Caenorhabditis elegans: one gene and its partners. The protein of the gene in region 1 interacts with the protein of each later gene in a pairwise test. Each region holds a gene or a part of one and is shown in the gene's direction. Other genes may lie near its edges.

What was found.
Region 2: the proteins of gfi-1 (region 1) and toca-1 interact in a two-hybrid assay, tested with the Caenorhabditis elegans proteins (one large-scale study listed by BioGRID).
Region 3: the proteins of gfi-1 (region 1) and wrt-4 interact in a two-hybrid assay, tested with the Caenorhabditis elegans proteins (one large-scale study listed by BioGRID).

The regions. Positions count from the first base shown.
Region 1 is NC_003283.11:6,393,922-6,401,944, reverse strand, and holds the start of gfi-1 (ET module), read left to right. Parts: upstream 1-2,013; 5' UTR 2,014-2,023; coding exon 2,024-2,149; intron 2,150-2,198; coding exon 2,199-2,422; intron 2,423-3,000; coding exon 3,001-8,023. Other genes in the region: bcf-1 (bacterial colonization factor), read left to right, coding at 1-128, 215-414.
Region 2 is NC_003284.9:1,518,460-1,523,297, reverse strand, and holds the start of toca-1 (Transducer of Cdc42-dependent actin assembly protein 1 homolog), read left to right. Parts: upstream 1-1,810; 5' UTR 1,811-1,903; coding exon 1,904-1,936; intron 1,937-4,838. UniProt on the Caenorhabditis elegans protein: Plays a role in protein trafficking, actin organization and embryonic morphogenesis. Potentially acts as a cdc-42 effector. May play a role in hypodermal P-cell nuclear positioning.
Region 3 is NC_003284.9:15,751,729-15,758,886, reverse strand, and holds wrt-4 (Warthog protein 4 N-product), read left to right. Parts: upstream 1-1,617; 5' UTR 1,618-1,622; coding exon 1,623-1,721; intron 1,722-2,602; coding exon 2,603-2,800; intron 2,801-2,956; coding exon 2,957-3,051; intron 3,052-3,763; coding exon 3,764-4,002; intron 4,003-4,089; coding exon 4,090-4,430; intron 4,431-5,520; coding exon 5,521-5,572; intron 5,573-5,616; coding exon 5,617-5,800; intron 5,801-5,847; coding exon 5,848-6,010; intron 6,011-6,068; coding exon 6,069-6,233; intron 6,234-6,281; coding exon 6,282-6,419; 3' UTR 6,420-6,630; downstream 6,631-7,158. Other genes in the region: bus-17 (Hexosyltransferase), read left to right, coding at 714-868; srxa-9 (Serpentine Receptor, class XA), read right to left, coding at 6,749-6,982, 7,036-7,158. UniProt on the Caenorhabditis elegans protein: Intercellular signal essential for a variety of patterning events during development.

The DNA.
Region 1 (8,023 bases):
CACAGCTGACTCTTACAGTGCTTGCGCTGGATCGTGCGCCTCAATTTCTTACACTGCACCATACAATGGTGGAAACCAGACACTCACACTTTACACCTGTGATCCAGTTACTGTCTGTACCTCCTTGAGTAAGTTTTTTTTTTTAATGTATAGCCAATATATTTCATAGCTGGCCATTATTTATTCTTCGAAATTCAAAATTAATCAATTCTAGACTTGACCAACTCGTGTGCTTCTATTGACGGCGGACTCTCCGGATGCTGTTGTAGCACTAATAACTGCGTTGGTCCAAACAATGGCCCAGGAATTGTAACCACACAATCACCAGCCACAACCACAAAGGGCTCATCTTCCATCACCTTCTCAATTCTTGCACTTTTCGCTGCTGTGTATATCGCTCTGACTAGACATTAGGCCAGCTTTAGATAATTTTTCTCATTTCTTTCATGTACATATGTGCTCTTTTCGCGCATAACTTTTTGTTTGTTCTTTTTTTTTAATTTTCTCCTTTTCTTTGAAGATTCTAAATCTTAATTGTTGAGCGATCTTTACAATAAAATTATTTCTCGACACAAAATAATATTCAAAACAAAAGCATTGCCACTCCATTAAAGGTGGCCTATCACATATCATATTTTGTCGGTCTTCCGTTTTAGCAACAACTAATACATATTGGTATTGAGCGCGTTTAATGGTTGCCACAGTTTTCAATTTTCAATTAATTCAAATTTCAGCTGTATAACCGTGGATTTTTTTAAATTAAACAAAAAATTATTCGAAAATTGCTAAAGGAAGATCGGGAGAAGGCATCGGTCAAAATTTCTCGTACTTCGTTTTTTTTCGCAATTTCCTTACTAATATGATGGAATACTACAGTTTGAAACAATAAACCCACCTTTAGGCCACCTTTAGACTACCTTTAACCCAAAGAAAACAACTTGAAATTAAACAAGAATTGTAGTGTTTTTAACTGATATTTGGCTAACTAAGTTTTTTTGTTGATCTGTTGTCAATATTACACTGGCACTAAAATTACCACAGTGCGCACTATGAAACCCAATTTTTCCAGCATGGAATTTTAAAATATCGATCAATGTTGTTTCAGATACATTATAAAATTTTTAGATTCAAGGCTCTCAAAGAAAGAAATAATTAAATTGAATTTTGATTTTTTGATATTGAAATTTCCTTTCGAATTTCCGTGTTTTATGATCAGTGCTGATAACAAACGAGTGAGATGTGGCAAAAGGTAAACAAAACAATAAGTGGTGTAGTTTTGGAATGTCAGTAAGCGTTTCTGAAATTACCTGATTTTATGGAAATGGGTGTATTTTTCCCACAAACTGCTCAAACTGGCATACTGTACTCAACTAGATAGAAGCTAAAAATCGAATAGCCCCAGCGGGAAAATTCTTAAAATTTAGATAAAATAACCAAATTATTACTTACATCGTAGTTTCACAGTATTTATGGTTAAAAAAATCTGAAAACAAATTCCGCATCCCTGTGGGCTTTTTTGAGTTTTTCAGTCAAGTTTTCTCGCACTTTCTCTTGTCTGTACTTTCCCTTTCATATTCTTACTAATATGACCGAGTACTGTAGTTCGAGACAATAAACCCACAAGACCACCTTTGAATCAACGAATTGACGCAAAAATGTGCAATAAAACCAAATTTCCTGCTCCAAATGCCTTTTTGAAGCTCTTTTTCTTTGTTTGTTTCTTTTGCAGCTGAAGTCAATAATTTTGTATTCTGCTTCACAAGTTTCGCCTTCAAGGTTCTGAGAATCCACCCACTTTGTGTTTTATCGAAACTACAGTTAACAAGGACCGATTGCCGATTATGAACCAATTTCGACAATTTTGACATTATAAGAGGCTTAATTCACTCAATTTACATTAGTCAGGTACTCAATTTCTTCTTTCCGCTCGGAGAAGTCGCACTCATGTTTTAACAATCATTTTCCTATTCTTCATTTGTTGAAATTGAATATTTAATTTGCCACTAACACATTCAAATTTCAGATGCGCTTGGGCATTTTCCTGCTGGCACTTGCCGGCTGTTGTAGTTTCGCTAGTGCTAAACAAAACTGCTTAGTCGGAAATCTAATTGTATCGGAAAATGTTATTACATCAAAGTCTGTTGAATTGGTACGTCCAACCGATATAAATTCTATATTTTTCCATTTGACTACTTCAGAGAGAATGCGAAGGATTGTGCAGAAAACAAACTGTCAAATCTCCAAGCGGAGGACTTGTTCTCTTGACATGCGAAGAGAACAAGCTCATGGCTTTCATTAACAAAGGACAGGATTGCTCCAGCAGTGAGCTTGAGACATCATGCTTCTGCGAGGATGAGTTGTGTAACAAGGTCGACTTGGAAGAAAATATTCCAAAGCCAATCGAAGTTATTAATGCCCCAAAGTGAGTTTTGTTATCACTGTTTTTTTGACAACTGATAGGAATTGAGGTGTATATCTTCTTTCTTTCTTTTTCAAAAAAAAATGGACCAATTCATTCAATTATTGGATTAAAAGATCTGTATGAGTACCAAAACAACAATTTTTCATCTTGAGTGTTTCATTAACACTTTTTCAAGCAAATGCAATTTGAGAATGTGTACCTTCAAATTCGTTGATTTAAAAAAAAAACTCTCATAAAATATTGTAATTTGAAAACTGCAAAAACCAGTCCAAAATTCCAAAGCTTTATTTTGCTATATTTAATCCAATTTCAATTTGTGACTACAGTCAACGTCAAACTGATAACAATAATGGAATAATTGTTTTACATTTGGGCGCGCTTCTTATCTGATTGTGCCAATAGCGCATGCAACACAACCATGAAATGTGGCTCGATAGCTCCTCGGCATTTAAATTCCGAAATACCAATCGTGTGATAAGAAACTGATACATATGTAGTATATTTTTGGCGATCGCCAAAATTTTCCTAGGAGGAAAATCAAAGAAAAATAGTAAAATACTGATTTTGTGTGTTTGCAGCAATATCCTCTGCTACGTCGGATTCTATGCCAACAACACTACTCCAGGATTCGGATCAGGGGACACCGTCACTTGCTCCGCAGGAAATGTATGTACCAGTGTTTCTGGAGTCTACAACGGATACGACGCTGCTGCCTACGCTTGCATGCCACAAGGACTTTGCGACGGCATCTTCCCAAATATTGACCCAAATAATCCAATCGCCTGCACCAATCTCGCTGGAACCAACATTCAAGGATGCTGCTGTTACAAGCAAGATTGTACTAGCCTCGCTCCAATGAACAACCCACCAACTCCATCTCCATGGAACAAGAACAACCAGACATGCTATCAAGGAATTTCCGTCAACGGAGCTCTCTTGTATGGAGGATCCTTCTCTCAATGCTTGGGAGAATGCGGATCTGCTCGTATTCGTACCACTTACAATGGAGCCAATGTATGGGGAGAGATCTTCGTTTGCGACCCAGTCAACGTCTTCACTGCTTTGAACCTCGACAGCGGATGCATGAACCTTGACACCCAAAACATCAATGGAGTCCCAACCGCTCTCATCACCGGCTGTGCCTGCAACAGCATGGACAAATGTATTGACCCAACTGTTGTTCCACCAGTCTACCCAGTCAAGCAGCTCAGATGCGCTGTCGGACTTTACAATGGAACAACCTGGCTCGGAGCTGAAATGAACTGCCAAGGACGATGTGGACGTGTCAGGTTCAATGCCAACGGACAACAAGTTTCATACTTCACTTGCATGCCATACGATGTCTGCGCTGGATTCGGACTTGCTTCCACTGAAGGACAAACCTACAATCCACCACAAGACGAGGAACTTGAGGTGTACTGCTGCTCTGCTAGCAACAACTGCAACGTTAACAATCCATACATTCTCGGACGTGTGAATAACTCTGCTGTGTCTACCGCCAAGTATCCAGTTCTCTGCTACGGAGGAATCTGGGTTAACGGAGTTTCCATCACCAACTCTGCTTACGGACTCTGCCAAGGAGAGTGTGCTTCAGCTAGCTTCACCACCACCTTCGCCAACCAAGTTCACAATGCTACCATCTACACTTGCGATCCAGTCACAATGTGCCAACAAGCCGGAATCTCCAACTCTTGCGGAAGCGTTCTTGGAGGAGTCAATGCTTGCTGTTGCGACAATGATCTTTGCATTGATCCAAACAGAGGATCTCAACGCCCACAACTTCGTTGCTATTCTGGAGTTTCTATTCCACAAGACAAATACAACACTGGAGGAGACCAATTCTGTGATGGATGGTGCGGATCCTTGAACTCTGTTGTCAACGGAAAGAACGCAACTGTCTACTACTGCGCCCCAGTTGGAATGTGCCGCTACTTCGGACTCGGATTCGGAGGATCTTACGGAAACTGTGGACAAATCCCAGGAGCTGACCCACAAGTCACTGGATGCTGCTGCTCAGAAACTGACAACTGTCTTGCCCCAGCTGGAGTCAACGTCACTGCCATCCCAGCTCGTCGTGACCCAAGAATTGTCTGCTACGAAGGAATCCATCTCAACGGACAAAACATCAGCCAGCCTTACTACCGCATGTGCGACGGAGAATGTGTGTCTGTTTCCCTTGGAGGAACCGTCAATAACAACTCTCACTACGCTACTCTCTACACCTGCGATCCAAGCAGTGCCTGTGCCGCGATGGGACTTCGTAACAACTGCTCCACCATTGACAACTCTCTCACTGCTTGCTGCTGTGACTCCAATGAGTGTATTGATCCAACCTACAACCGTGTTCCAGGAAAAGCTCTCAAATGCTACGTCGGTATCAGCACCCAGCACAAGGGAAACATCGCAGGAGCTGAAGTTCTTTGCGACGGATATTGTGCCACCGTTTCCGCTGTTGTCGGATCCGACTATGTCACCGCCTTCCATTGCGCTCCAAGATCTATGTGCCGTTCCCTTGGACTTGACAACTCGAACAACACTTTCTACTTGGACAGATTCGTCAACGCGTACTGCTGTGATGTCTTCGACAACTGCAACGTTGCTACGTCTGGATTCAACGTCACCATTCCACCACTTGCACCAAATGAGATGCCACGCGCTTGCTATTCTGGAATTTTCATTGGAGGAAGCCAAATCTCTGACGGAGGATGGACTGCTTGCAAGGGAGATTGTGTTGCTGTCAACTTGAACACCACATACAACGGAGTTGCTACCACTGCTTCTCTTTACACGTGTGACCCATCTTACATCTGCAGAATGATGAACTCAACAAACAGATGCCACCAACAAGAACAAGGATTCGAGACTTGCTGCTGTGACAGCGATGCTTGCCTCGATCCAACATCCACCCCACCACGTAAACCATATGGAGATGGAAACCTCTGTTACGTCGGAGCTTACTCCTATGATTTGAAGGGAAATACCATCTTCAATGCCGGAGGAGAACAATACTGCGAAGGAAACTGCGCATCTGTTACTTCAACACTTGCCAACGCTAACGTCACTGTTTACGCTTGTGTCCCAACATACGTCTGTAACAGCTTGTACGTCTATGACAGCTGCCGCACACTCTGGTATGATAGAGATATCACTGGATGTTGTTGTACCAATGGACCTAACTGCAACTTGAATCAAGTTGTTCCAAGACCTCCAATCAACAATCCCGGAAGAAGACGTCCACGTGTTGAATATCCAATCACCTGCCCAGCTGGTCTTATCGTTGACGGATTCAACCAAACTCCAATGGAATTCTCCGTTTGCTTCGGTGAATGTGCCTCTGTCAGCATCAATGCTACGATCAACGGAACTTTGCACACGGCTTCCTTCTACACTTGTGATCCATCGTCTGTCTGCTACCAACTTAAAGTTCATAACAACTGTACTTCCCCAGAAGCTGGAGTCACCGCTTGCTGCTGCGACAGTGATGCTTGCCTCGATCCGAACAGAGGAAAGACCGTTCCAACTCCACCACTCAAGTGCTACGTCGGGCTCTATTCTACCAGCGTGCCATCACTTCAAACCGGAGCTGAACAACTCTGTGACGGCAAGTGTGCCTCGGTTAACGCTCGCATTGCCAATGACAACGTGACCCTCTTCGCTTGTGTTCCACACTCTCTATGCCGTTCCCTCGAGCTCTACGATTCCTGCGCCCGCATGGAGCCATACTACCCAGAATTCCGAGCTTGCTGCTGTGACAATGCTGATAACTGCAACGTTCGACAGACCCATCTTGCCAACGTGATCAACACCACCATTCCACTCACTCCACTCAATGATGCTCCAATATCTTGCTACTCCGGACTTTTCATCAACGGAACCGCTTACAGCTCGGCTGGATGGCAGACTTGCCAAGGAGAGTGTGTCTCAGTATCCATCACATCTCAATTCAATGGACAAGCCGGAACCGCTGCTCTTTACACCTGCGATCCATCCCGCGTTTGCCGTAATTTGAAAATTCTGAACAAGTGCTCCACTCTTGAGAACGGAATTACCGGCTGCTGCTGTAACACCAATGCCTGTATTGATCCAACAGTCTATCCAGCTCGTAACCCAGGAAACCAACTTATGTGCTATGCTGGTATCAGCTCGAACTACATTGTTAATGGAAGCGCAGTTAACGTTGGAGCTCAAATTCCATGTAACGGACAATGCTCATCCCTCTCAGGAGTTGTCGGTGGATTCCAAGTCAACACCTATCACTGCATGCCAAACTCGATCTGTAACTCCCTTGAACTCTACGACAACTGCAAACCAGTTTGGAATGACAACCAAGTCACTGGATGCTGCTGTAACAATGCCAACAACTGTAACATTGCCAATACCACCATCACTCCACCACCACCACCAACTTCAGTCGACTATGCTATTGCTTGCTACACTGGACTTTATGTCAACGGTGTTCCATCTACTCCAGTCATTCTCGGAGCTTGCCAGGGACAATGTGCGTCCATCTCATTGAACACTACACTCAACGGAGTTGCCACCACAGCAACTCTTTACGGATGCGACCCAAGCACTGTTTGCCAATCTCTCAACATGAACAACTGGTGTGCCTCCCCAATCCCAGGAGTCTCCGGATGCTGCTGTAACACTGATCTCTGCCTTGATCCACCAAAGAACAAGACTGTACCATCTGGATTCCGCAAGTGCTTCGCTGGAATCTACGCTCAAGGAAAGGCCACTGGATCTGAAATCTTCTGCCCAGGAAAGTGCGCCTCAATTCAAGCTACCCTCAACCAAGACCCAGTTGCTATCTTCGGATGCGTGCCAACCCAATTCTGCAGACAACTCGAGATGTACGACGAGTGCAAACCACTTCCATATGATACCACAGTTACGGGATGCTGCTGCGACAACTACAACAACTGCAACGTCGATTTGGCTGGATATGGTGGAAAGATCAATACTTCAATGCCAGTTACGAACTTCCGTGATTATCCAATCGCTTGCTTCTCTGGTCTTTACGTCAATAACATGCCAATTTCCATCGCTGGTTGGCAAGCATGTAAGGGAGAATGCGCTTCTGCTACTCTCTCAACCATGTACAATGGAGCTCTCACCAACGCTACAATTTACACTTGCGATCCAGTCAGCACATGCTATCAACTTGGAATGAACAACAATTGTACTACCATTGAGAATGGACTTTCCGGATGCTGCTGTTCTACCGATGCTTGCCTCGACCCAACTGTTTCTCCACCACGTACTCCTAACCCACTCAAGTGCTACGTTGGTCTACAATCTACCTACAATTCGTTGAGCCTCGGAGCTGAGACCTATTGTTCCGGACAATGCGCTTCATTGACTGGAATCGTCGGAGGTTTCAATGTCACTACTTATCACTGTGTTGCTGATACTATCTGCAAATCTCTTGAGATTAAGGATACTTGTCGTCCACTTTGGAGTGACAGAGAAGTCACTGCCTGCTGCTGTAACAACGCGGACAACTGCAACCTCAAGGATCCAAATGTGAAACCAGGACCAGCAGTTCTTCCAGATTTCCCAACTGCTTGCTACCAGGGACTCCTTGTCAACAACCAAACA
Region 2 (4,838 bases), on another chromosome or scaffold:
TTTTACCCCCTTGTCACCGATTCTCAGTCCCAATGTCACCTTGTCTTAGGTGTACTACCTTTCATTACTAACTTCCGAATACATTTTCTTCGCCTCCTTTTCCCCATTCTTCTTTTTTTTCTACTCAACCTTCCGAGACACGACTACCTATGTGTTGTCGTCGATTTGGCGGGTCACTTGAACTTTTGCGTTTGGCCATGGAAAGATTGGCGAGGCAGGAGGGGGGACAAAAGGAGGCCTGTTTTGCATATTACCTTGAGAAACGTCGGGTACGACAAGCATAGCATTTTTTGGGTAGTTTTTTCTGAGAGTGATTGTAGGGCTTTTTTGGAAGTCCTTTGAAACCAGTATATATATATATATTTTAGTCAGCTTTAGGTTTTTTTTTTTTTTTTTCGGGCCAAGGCAGATGGTGAAGTTAAGGCTAAAATATATGTCAGGGCCAAAAAGTGGAGACCCAGAAAGTTGAGCCTTCAAAAACTAAGCCATTTAGGCTAACTTTTACTTTCTTTATTTAGGCATTTAGGCGGTTGAGCCCTTGAAAGCCGCATCTCCATTTTTTCCGCTCCTTGAGGTTAGGCTTATTTTAAAATCCTTGAGGTCAGGCTTATCATCCTTCAAAGTTTGAGACCAAGAAGGTTAAGCCCCGTAGTTGAAGGATAATTCTGAGCCCACGAACGCCAAGCCCCAAAGAAGCCCAAAGTAATGGCTGGGCACCTGAAGTCTAAGCCTTTAGGCTGCGCTCTTAGCTTAATGCCCTTCTTCAAAAACTGAGTCCCTCGGTACAGACTAAGCTTTTAGGTTACCCTTTAGCTTTTAGGCAAGCTCGGGCCTAATTTCAGGCTTAGCTTCAGACTCAAAATTACGAGATTTCCCTCAACGTAATTCGAAAAAAATTGATTAGACTAGGTATCTCGCGCCGTGCGTATTGTTGTAAACTCTTCATTTTTCGCTCATCAATATCTCCGAAAACCCCGGGACCCCGAGGTCTATCCTAGATAGCAAGATACGCAGACGCACACATGTGTATACATATGCTATTGGGCGAGAAATAGCGTCTCTTCTTTTTCTTCTTCTCTTGGGAGCTACTTTTCGAGGTCCGAGCTGCTGCAGCTCGAGCTGGGTGCTCGAGCTGACCGCGGACCCCACTTCTCGTGACCGCCTATCTTGTTTTTTTCTGTGTTGCTGTTCTCGGATAAATTTGGGATTGGAATGTTTCTTTGGGGTCTAGCCTGTTTCAACGGAAATAAGTGAAAAATTGTTTGCTGATTTTCTTAATTTTTTCACTATTTGCTGATGCTATTTTTGTAAATTCGGTAGCTGAAAATTTCTGGTACCTGGTAACCGTGAACTATACCATATGGAAAAGTTTGAAAATTGGAGGTTTTAGGCCATTTTCGGCTATTAAACTTTTTCCGATTTTTCGAATAATCTAGCACGTTTTAGCGAAATGTTTTTTTTTTGATTAAGCTTGATTTTTTCTATTAATTTCTCAATTTTGCAATAATTTTCTCCACCTTTTTTCAACCTCCCATAGCACTCCAAATACTCTGCTCTTCCACAAAAAATTTACCCCCCCCTCCTGAGCCCCCACAATTATACCTATGCTTCCTTCCGCCTCCCGGTGCCATGAGCACCAACCACAAATTGCTCTCCATTTTTGCTCCACGACACGCCCAACCGTCAACAGCTTAGATTACTGTTTTTGTTCCTATTTACGAACTAAAGTTTTCAATTTTTTTCTCCTTCTCGTTTGTTCGGATCTTTTTTGTGCTGCTCATTGCTGTTAACGTTTTGAGTTTTTTTTCAGACTTCAACTCGAAAAAGTTCCAATTAGTGTTCATAAAAAGAAGGAATCGAGATTGGATTGGATGGTAACAACCTTTTGAAGAAGCGGCGAACAATGAACGACAGTTGCAGTTGGGACCAGCTATGGGTAAGTTTTTATTGAATCCTTGGTAAAAACTAAAATTTAAAATAAGAAAACAGGCTACTAAAATGAAAAAACCGCGGGTCTAAAAAAATGGCCAAAATCACCAAATGTTGAGCTGAATTTTTTACGATTCTAAACCGTGAATCCTCCTTTTTTCCTAGTTCAACATTTCAAAAAATCTACTGATTAAAAGTATGTACATATGTGCCTAAAATTGTAATGTTATGCACTTCACACTGTGAAAAGGTTAGAAGGTTTCCACCAAAATGAGAAAAATGGCACGAAACTTCAGATTTTCAAAATTGGGCGCTGCTTCAAATTGCTGAACTTTTAAAAAATATGTCAAAGTTCCAAGATACCAGGATTATGCCTAATTTGGAAAAAATTGGAAATATAAAATTTTTCCAAATTCTGTTACAGCTCTAAAGCACCCACGCCACGAATTTCCAGAACCTAGAATTTTTCGAGACCGCCGCAGTTTCAAAACTCCAAAATTTGACGAAATTCCGGGCCCAACCACTTTAAGGATTATTTTCTGGGAATATGCAAAAATAGGGATTTCAATTGATATCATGGCAAGACGTCCGCAGGGTTTTGCGCCGCACTATATTTTATTTGCAATTGCCTGGGTGGGGCGCGAAACCCGTTAGATGTCGGACCATAATATCATTTGTATCGATATTGGGGTACTGATACTGGCATGATCACAGATGGGCGGTCCCGATACTTTTTGAAATTCGGTAAAATTCCGAAATTTCTAAAGTTCGGATGAATTTGAAATTTGGCGTTTGCCAACTTCTAGTGCAATTTTATAGTTTCGATGTGGAAAATCCTTGGATTTTTCTCAAATTTTTAATAAAATCTAATGATCCCCCCCCTCCCCCCCACCAAACATTTCTACTCGTTCCTACATACATTTTCGCATATCACATATACCTTCTCGTCTCCCGCATACATAATTTAGTAGTTGTAAGCAAGATCGGGGGGTGGCGGGCGATCACAAAGTAACGGCGGAAGCGGCTCACCCACCCTCCGAACACACTTGAATTAGTCATTTGTTGCTAATGTAGAGGTGGATACTAATAAGGAGTGGCGGGAGGTGTATAGAGAGAGTGAAAGAGAGAGAGAGAGAGAGAGAGAGAGACGCAGAATTAAAAAACAGGGTTACCTAGTGGGTTTGCTGGGCGCACGTTAGTATGTTTTGGTAAATGCGCTCTAATTTTAAAATTCAAAAATGGAGTGGAAATTTCTATAATATATTTTAAAAACATTTTTTTTTATTAAATTGGTCCGTTCACACTGATTATGCCTACTTTTTTAAGACGTTGTATTTTTAAAAATTGATTTCAAAAAAATTAATTTTCTACTCTCTCTCAAAAACTTCTCTTAAAAACTACAAAATCCGATTTTTTTTTCGCCAAAGTTTCTTATCAGTTTACAGAAAAATTGTGAACATTTCAGAAATGCCAGTATGACACATCTTTTTGAACATATCAGTTTGTGCTTGAATTTGATTCAGAAAAACAGCAAAATTTTTTTTCTTTCAAATTTTCCCAATACTTCAGCCAGTTTTTTGTCGTTTATAACAGTAATCTACCGCAGAGATACAAGCTTATAGAACTTAAAGCCGAGAGAGTGTGGGACGAGGGGAGAGTGCAGACTGTCTTCAATTTCTAGTGCTCAAAATTTGAGAGCATGTAACTTGAGAAATGAATTCTGAAAATTGGATTTTCTATCGATTTACTCTTTAAATTTTCAATTAGGGCTCCCATGTGGGTGCCGCAAACGCCGCCCTCACGCCGGGATCCGAAATCTTAATAGCAATGCGCGAAACCCAAAAAATGTCGGATCGCGGCGCCTACATGGGAGCCCTGGTTTTAATATAATAATGGTTCCGAACAGTTTTATTAATAAAATTGCACAAACTTTCTGATCGTCGGTTCTCCGCTCTTTCCTTATCGTTCACTTCTCGCCAATTTAATAGGCAAAAGCGGTAGTTGGGGAAGGGCGGAAAGCGCAAATAAACACAGCTTCACTCTCTTTTTCTCCCTTTTTCGGCACCAAAATCGTACTTTCTGTGATTGTATTTGTGTTTAGCAGGGAATTATCAATAAGATTAGAAGGTTTTTTAAAAAGAAAATTTTTTGTGGGGTCCCTGTAACCTTGGATGTAATTTTATAACATGGTGCATCGACTGAAAACTACACTAGCAATTTTTAAGTTTACGGTTGAAACTTGTCACTTTTACATACATATTAAGGGTTATCAGTATATTATTCATTCAAAATTTGTGCTAGTAAAGTGAAATTTTTTCTCTGTTTGAAAAAATATGATAAAATGCCAAAAAGAACGTCATTTCCTATGACAAATTTTGTCCGATGCACCATGTTCAAAAAATTTCTTTGGCTCTCACATATTTTTCAGGTTTTACCGCCAAACTTATCGGACTTTTCCAGTCGATGCACCATGTTCGGATTTATTTTTCTAGACAAAATTATTGCTGCTCCTTCAAAAAATATCGATTTTTTTACCTGATGCACCATGTTCAAGTTTTCTGAGAAAAATTTCTGTAATAGTCGAAAAGTTACCGAGAACATTTCAAAACGAAAATGTCATTCTGCTTCCGTTCCCCATTCCCCCCTACTTCTTCAGCCTTACTGTCAATCCATTTCAATTCTACAACCATTTTTCTTCATCTCCCCTCATTTTCCCTTCCTCCTCCCCCTTCTAACTTCTTCTTCTTCTTCTAGTCGCGTCGTCAATCGGTGTTGGGGTCGACAATTCATTGTATATGTAGATCACATTGCATTCGGATTGCGCCCTTCCGTCCTGGCGATAGTTTCTAGGACGCCGCGCCTTGGACACTCACCGCACCTTTTTTCTGCAAAGTTTGAGTTTTTGCTTG
Region 3 (7,158 bases), on another chromosome or scaffold:
TCTCACAGACAGTGCCACTTAGCAAAATTTAACGCTTTTAAAAATAAACAAGGAAGAAAAAAGAAACCCAGAAGCTAGTTTTTTCGAAATTTATAATTTCATCATGTATTCCCAGAATCTTTCTCAAGCTTTGCATACGGAACTAAAATTCAAAGCGAGTTTCCATTGATAAGAAAACCTTGTTTATATTAACAGGAAAGCCAGGATGTTGCAAAATATCAGATTCAACTTGCAAACAATTATATTTTGTAATACTGTTGTGGTCATTGTGGTTTGTGGTTAAATCAGCAAGCATCAAAATGTCAAAAAAATAGCCAAACTGTTGAATAAAACTTATTGAAAAATATTTTAAATAGATTACGGCTTAAAATTTAGATACAGTGAAGCACTTCGAAGCTTGTTAATTTTGGCCTGTAAACAGTCCGTAAAATTTGTTTCAAAGTGGATTTTTTTGATAGTTTAATAGGTTTAAATCTGAAAAGACACACTGGAAGACTTTAAAATATTTTGGAAAGATAAACTTGAAAAAAATTGACTTTTTCAAAGAAATAGAATTTTTCAAGAACATTCAAAGTTGCCAAAATTCTGCAAAAATTGGCTCGCTGTTAAAAATTTTTTAAAGCAATCTATTCTGAACAAGTTTCTCCAAATGATATTTGAAATTTTTTATCGCTAGTTTTCTTGTTTATTTTTTTTAGCTAGTTTTCTTACAGGCGTTTTGTCGAATTGCGTCGGACTTGGTCTCATCCATAACGAAGGATTCGACAAGCACTCATTTGACGACTTTGTTGTTTATCATTATCAGTATTCGAGGCACTCGGCGAAATATTTGGAATCGCTATGGCAAAACTCTAAAATGATATTGTGAAGTCCTCTTGTTTCACCAATTTTTTCTACTTTTTTGTCACGTGTCATCCAGCCATATGTTCTTTTTCTCTCAATTATTTTGAATTTCTGCGAATCTTTTTTAAAACTCGCTTTAAATTTTGTTTCTTTATTGTCTTCATGTTTCCGACGTCTCATATGTTCCAAAATATTTTATGTCCATAATATAACAAATGAATCCACATCAGGTTATATCAGTCACCGCGGTTCTTAATTTTGTTCTTCTATAACGAGTGTGTGAATAATTATATCGTATAAATCAGATATAGGCAGTTTGCAAAAAAACATAGTCGCTGACCAGCTTTTTGTAGGATATTAGATAAGCTCTTTCAAAAGTTTGGCGGAAAAATAAAATGAAAAGCAAAGTAGATCCTTATATCGTATAAATCAGACGTAGGCGGTTCGAAAAAAAAACATAATCGCTGGCCAGTTTTTTGTAGGATATGGTACTTTTTTTTCCAAAACCTTGCCGGACAGAGAAAATAAGAAGCAAAGTAGATGCTAGGATGATCCAAGAAGGTAGGCGTTTTGATAAACGATGGCCAGGTAGTCCCGCCCATTTTGATAAGAAATCGCTTGGATATTTAAACTGGATGCTTCACCACTTAATTTCATTCTAATTCATAAGTTTTTTCTTTTTTTTTCTCCACTTCTTTAATATTTTTTGAAAGATCATTTTCTTGCCACTTCTACAATTATCTATTCTAATATTATAGTCTTGAATTTGTTCAGATACAATGAGGTTTTCTTTACTTGCACTAGTTTTGTTGTCTTCTAGCTATAAATTCACATATGGATCGGAGTGCGGAGATTCAACAATTCCATATAGTTTAGAGGTAAGAGAAAAAGAAATGTAATAAAAATAATCAAAGCTTTTACAAAAACACCCGCTAAATGTTATTTTGGCCTAAACTACATAGAAAAACAGAGTACGGGTTCTAGGTTTATTTCTCTAATACTATTTTTAGCTAAAGTTAGCCGTTTTTTTTTTTGAAATTTTGGTACTATTGTAGTATACCATTTATTTATTTCAAAAAATGATAAATAATATAAAACTAACTTGCACTTTCAAGCTTCAAAAAACATTAATCCTGAGCCTAATATGGACAAAAAGGGTTACGGATGTTCACTTTAAAAAATGGCGTATATTTTTAGTCCAGGTATACTTCACAAGTACCCAAGTAATTTTATAAGTAGTTGACAGTACAGTTCAAGTACAGTACAGTACAAGTACAAGTAATTTGAACCAATATGAAACATTTTTGCATATTTTTCATTAAATAGTGTACTACGCCTAATGTCACAAACGCGACTCAATTTACAAAGCTTAGAGTTATATAATGAAACGTGTGTATGAAGTGTTAATTGTGATTCATAATTATTAATCACTTGTAGTAAAATGAATTAAATTATCCCTTATTATTATAAGATATTCATTATAGAAAGTTTATCACCATAGTAGTACTTAAATTTAACGTGATACCCATTTAACTTGTTAGGCTGAGGAATGGCGTTTTCCTAAGCCTGAATTTTCACACGTTTTTTTTATAGGTTAAAACATTAATTTTTAAAATGGCGGGGTATAATACACACCATACCGATTTTGACATTTTTAAAACTTATAAAACATTCAACTTTCTGCAATCGTTTACACATAATAGTTATAAACATTCCGCCAAAGCATACTTAACATGACAAATTACCCTACTTATTCTAGGTGCTTTCATCTGGTCAACCGATTCTCGGATGCGCAAGACCAACTTGTTTTGGATGGCATTCAAATGGCCACCAACTTCCAACCAACGCCAAATTCTTCCGAATCGATCAACAATCGGACGGCTTCCTACGTGATGATCCTTTGGCTATTCATACATTTGATGCGGCCGACCCGAGAGTTTACGCGCAGCAGCAAGCAGTGAGTGATAGAGAATGAAAGGGAAAAGCTAATTGAAAAATGATGAGAAAATGAATGAAACATCATAGCAGGTTTTTATGACCCATATGTAGAATCAAAGAAAAAAGGAGATCAGTAAAAAGATGAAAAAGTTATTTTATTAATGAAATATTTCAGAGCTGTGAACAAGAATTCCAATCATTATCATGCAACCCAGAGGACCAATGGGTTGGAGGAATTGCACCAGTCATGAATGCATCTACCACCAAAATGTAAGCACTAGACCAGACTTAAAGGTGGAGTAGCGCCAGTGGGGAAATTGTTAAAAACCACTCCTTTGGTCCCAAAATGACCAAATATCATGATAAAACTTTTCAAAAAATTGGGCAGATAGCTCAGTCGGTAGTGGTGGCCGCTAGCAGTCTGGAGGTCACGAGTTCAAGTCCGGCCTCACCCCTAGGTTCACCCAGCCTCTATTGGGAAGTGGAGCAATCCACGACTGGATTATCGGCCACAGTCCCCGGCTAGGACGTGGCTTAAATTACAGCCCAGAAAGATCACCACCAGGCAGTGTACCTGAATCCCAGGTCCGCAGTGCATAGCACTTGAAGAACGGATCGTCCTTTAATCCTTTGATTTAACTGTCAACAAGTGGCAATTACTCATAATTTTGGAAGTAGACTAAAAAACAAATTTTTTTCGACATGTTTTATGTTTTAATTTTGTTCAAATTATTTGTATTAAAACATTGTAGGGGTCAAAAAATACCGTATTTCTTCAAATTTTCTCAAAAGCTCGTATTTTTCAAAATTTTGGCAATTTTCCAAAACTTTGACCAGAAATTATGAAAAATCTAAAAATTTTTGGAGTTTTTTATTATGATATTAGGTTGTTTTGGATCATTATAAGTGCCTTTAGACAAAATCCCCACTGGCGCTACTCCACCTTTAAGTTCTGAAAATTTTGCAACCTATTTCGCTTCAGTGTTGCCTACAAGTGCTGCACCTACGCTCCATTGCGTGCATCGATAGATCGAGGCGTGGCAACTGTGTCTGGCGGACAAATTGTTGTTGGAGGAGAGATATTCGCAGATAATAAGCCTTATGCATTCGACTATATTAGCAATGTAGAGAAGAAGATTGATTCCGAAGGAGAAATCTTTTACGAAGTTAATATTAAAAGATTCTCATGCTTGGATCTTCAGAAAGTTGATCGATCAGTCCGTAAGTAATATTGGGGTGAAACAAAACAACAGAATTGTAGTCAAAACGAAAAAATTGACTTGTTTTAAAAAACACTCTAAATTTCAGCTGAAATCTTAAACTCTGAGAACACGATTCGCCACGTCAACGGGCATCGATTTGTCGTTCACCAAGCTCCAACTGTAGATGTGGAGACCCCAGTTGAGACTGGACAGCTTGTGGTCCCACAAGGTGTTCAGAATGGACAAGAAGTGATTATTGAGGAAATTGTCGCTCAAGAAGGATTTGTTCAAGAAACAAACCCTCAACCACCACCACCACCAGGACAGCAAGGAGGATTTGTTCAACCACAAGGTTTCCAGCCACAGGGGGGATTCCAGCCACAAGGATTTCAGCCGCAGGGATTCCAGCCACAGGCATTCCAACCTCAAGTGGTCCAAAATCCAGTGGTAAGAAAAGCATACTGTTTTTTTTTGGATAACTAGCTTTCCATTTTTATTTTTCAGTTCTGTTAATTTAATAATCTAATTAATTAAATAACTTAATAATTTATTAATTTCATTTATACTTCTTAATATTAAAGGTGGAGTAGCGCCAGTGGGGAAAATGTAAAAACTATCAAAATGACCGAATATCATAATAAACCTTTTAAAATTTTTTAAAAAATGTTTTATCTATTGCCAAAAGGTAACAATTACTCAGCTTTTCCCACTCGGAATTTTGGAAGTCGACCAAAAAATAATTTTTTCCCCTACATTTTTCTATACTCTAATTTTGTTTTAATTATTTGTATTAAAACATTGTAGGGGTCGGACTTGCGACATTGCTTTGTATTTCCTGAAAAGCTCATATTTTCCAAAATTCTGGCATTTGTCAAGTCCTTGACAGGAAATTATGAAAAATCTGAAAATTATTTTTTGGTCGTTTTGGATCATTATAAGTGTAATCATACAATTCCACTCTTAAAGGTGAAGTAGCGCCAGTGGGGATTTTGTCTAAATCCACTTATAATGATCCAAAACAACCAAATGTCATAATAAAACACTCCAAAAAATTTTTCATAATTTCCGGTCAAAGTGTTGGCAAATTGTCAACATTTTGAAAAATACGAGCTTTAGAGCAAATTTAAAGAAATGTTGCATGCTTCGACCCCTACAATGTTTCAATACAATGAATTCAAACAAAATTAGAACATGAAAAAGTCGAAAAAAATTTTTTTTTCCGGTCGACTTCCAAAATTATGAGTGGAAAAACTGAGTAATTGCCACTTTTTGACATTAAATTAAAAATTTTCAAAAATGTTTTGAAATGTTTTATCATGATATTTGGTCATTTTAGGACCAAAGGAGTGGTTTTTAACAATTTCCCCACTGGCGCTAATCCACCTTTAATATTTAAAAAATTGTGTTACAATAAAATAAGTTCATGAATTGTATTATTATCACCCTTCGCTCTCTCATTCCATTAACCAATATAATCAGCAAACTATTTTTTTCATAATTAATATAATAATTTTCCGAACTTCATTTATTTTTCCAGCCTGCTGCACCAGCTGGATATGCTCCAATGGGATTCGCACCTTCTGGATTACGTAAGTTTTTACACCTTAATAATAATTCCCAACCCACATTTCAGAATTGTATTATTGCTTCCCTGGAGACGCTATGGTCAATGTTTATAATGGAGGATTCAAACGTATGGATGAGCTCGCAGTGGGAGACTGGGTTCAGGCTCTCGACAAGAATGGCTCTCAAGTAACATTTATCCCGGTTCAATACTGGCTTCATCGTGATCCAAAACAAGTTGCAGATTTTGTAGAGTAATACCTTTGGTTTGAGCATTCCGTTTTAACAATACAAATTACAGATTCACACTTGACAACGGAGAGACATTCTCATTGACCGAGAAGCATTTGGTCTTTGTAACTCAATGTTCTGTGCCCTATTCTGAGGATGAGAATATAAATGCAAACCCAGTACCAGCTGAGAGAGTAAACATTGGAGACTGTTTCTACATTGCACACCGCAAGGTAATATCAGATTTTCGATATATGAAAACATTTTGTAACTGAACAGCAAAATTTTCAGAAGTCCCAAATGTATCAACGCGTAAAAGTTCTTGACATCAATATTGTGCAAAAAACTGGAATCTACTCGCCAATGACGTCACGTGGCCATCTCCTGGTAGACCGTATTCATGCATCTTGCCACTCCGAAACCGACAATTACAGCCTTCAAAACACTTTCTTCACTGTTAGTAGAGTTCCCTATTTTACGGTAAATTTCAAATTACTATTACAGAATGTTCTCCGATGGAAGTCACAAATCCGCAACTACTTCTGGACTGTTGAGGATAGCACAAATGAGGATAACATTGGTTACGGTCTTAACGGAGTTATGGCTGTGTTGGATATTGTAATTCCATCAAAGTTGATGTAGATCCTATTAATAATTGTGGACAGAACCGTTGTACAAAATCCTCTATCAAAAATCTCAAATAGGTCAACCAATTTCACACTTTTTCATTCATTTTTTACAATTCAATTGTTGCCTAATTAATTAATTAATTAATTATTTATTTACTTCCAACATCTATGACATTTTGTTTGTTTCAGTTACATTGATTCAATAAACATTTTGTTAGCTCAAAAATTACGACGTTCAATTTTATTTAGTCATTGCAATTTTTTAAAACAGTACAAAACAAGCATCTCAATTCAGTTAAAGACATGATAATTTCTATAAAAATTATGAGTTTTTATACTTGCTTAAGAATGTGGGTTTATGACGGCCCTCGTCTGTTGTTTTGCACCAACTGGTACAACTGTTTGATTCGCTGCTGACGCAAAGTTTGATCCATCGAATTTCAAAAATCGTTTAAGCATTCGACGCGTGCTTCCGGTTTCCAAATAGTAAACGAAAAAAGTCATGGGTGGAATTGACTCGTAGCGGATGTAAAAATAACTTTTATGCACCAAATCCGGAAGGCCTGCGTAGAATGTCTGCAAAAATGATAATATTTTTTTAAACTCATGTTTTAAATTAAACGTGTTACCGGAAAAACTCTGATTAATAATGCTCCTAGTTCATAAATTGAGAGGTAGACCGCCACTGAAACGGTTTGCCGCATCATGATGAGATCACGCCTGGCTTGAAGTTTTGAAAGAGTTGTGTTTTG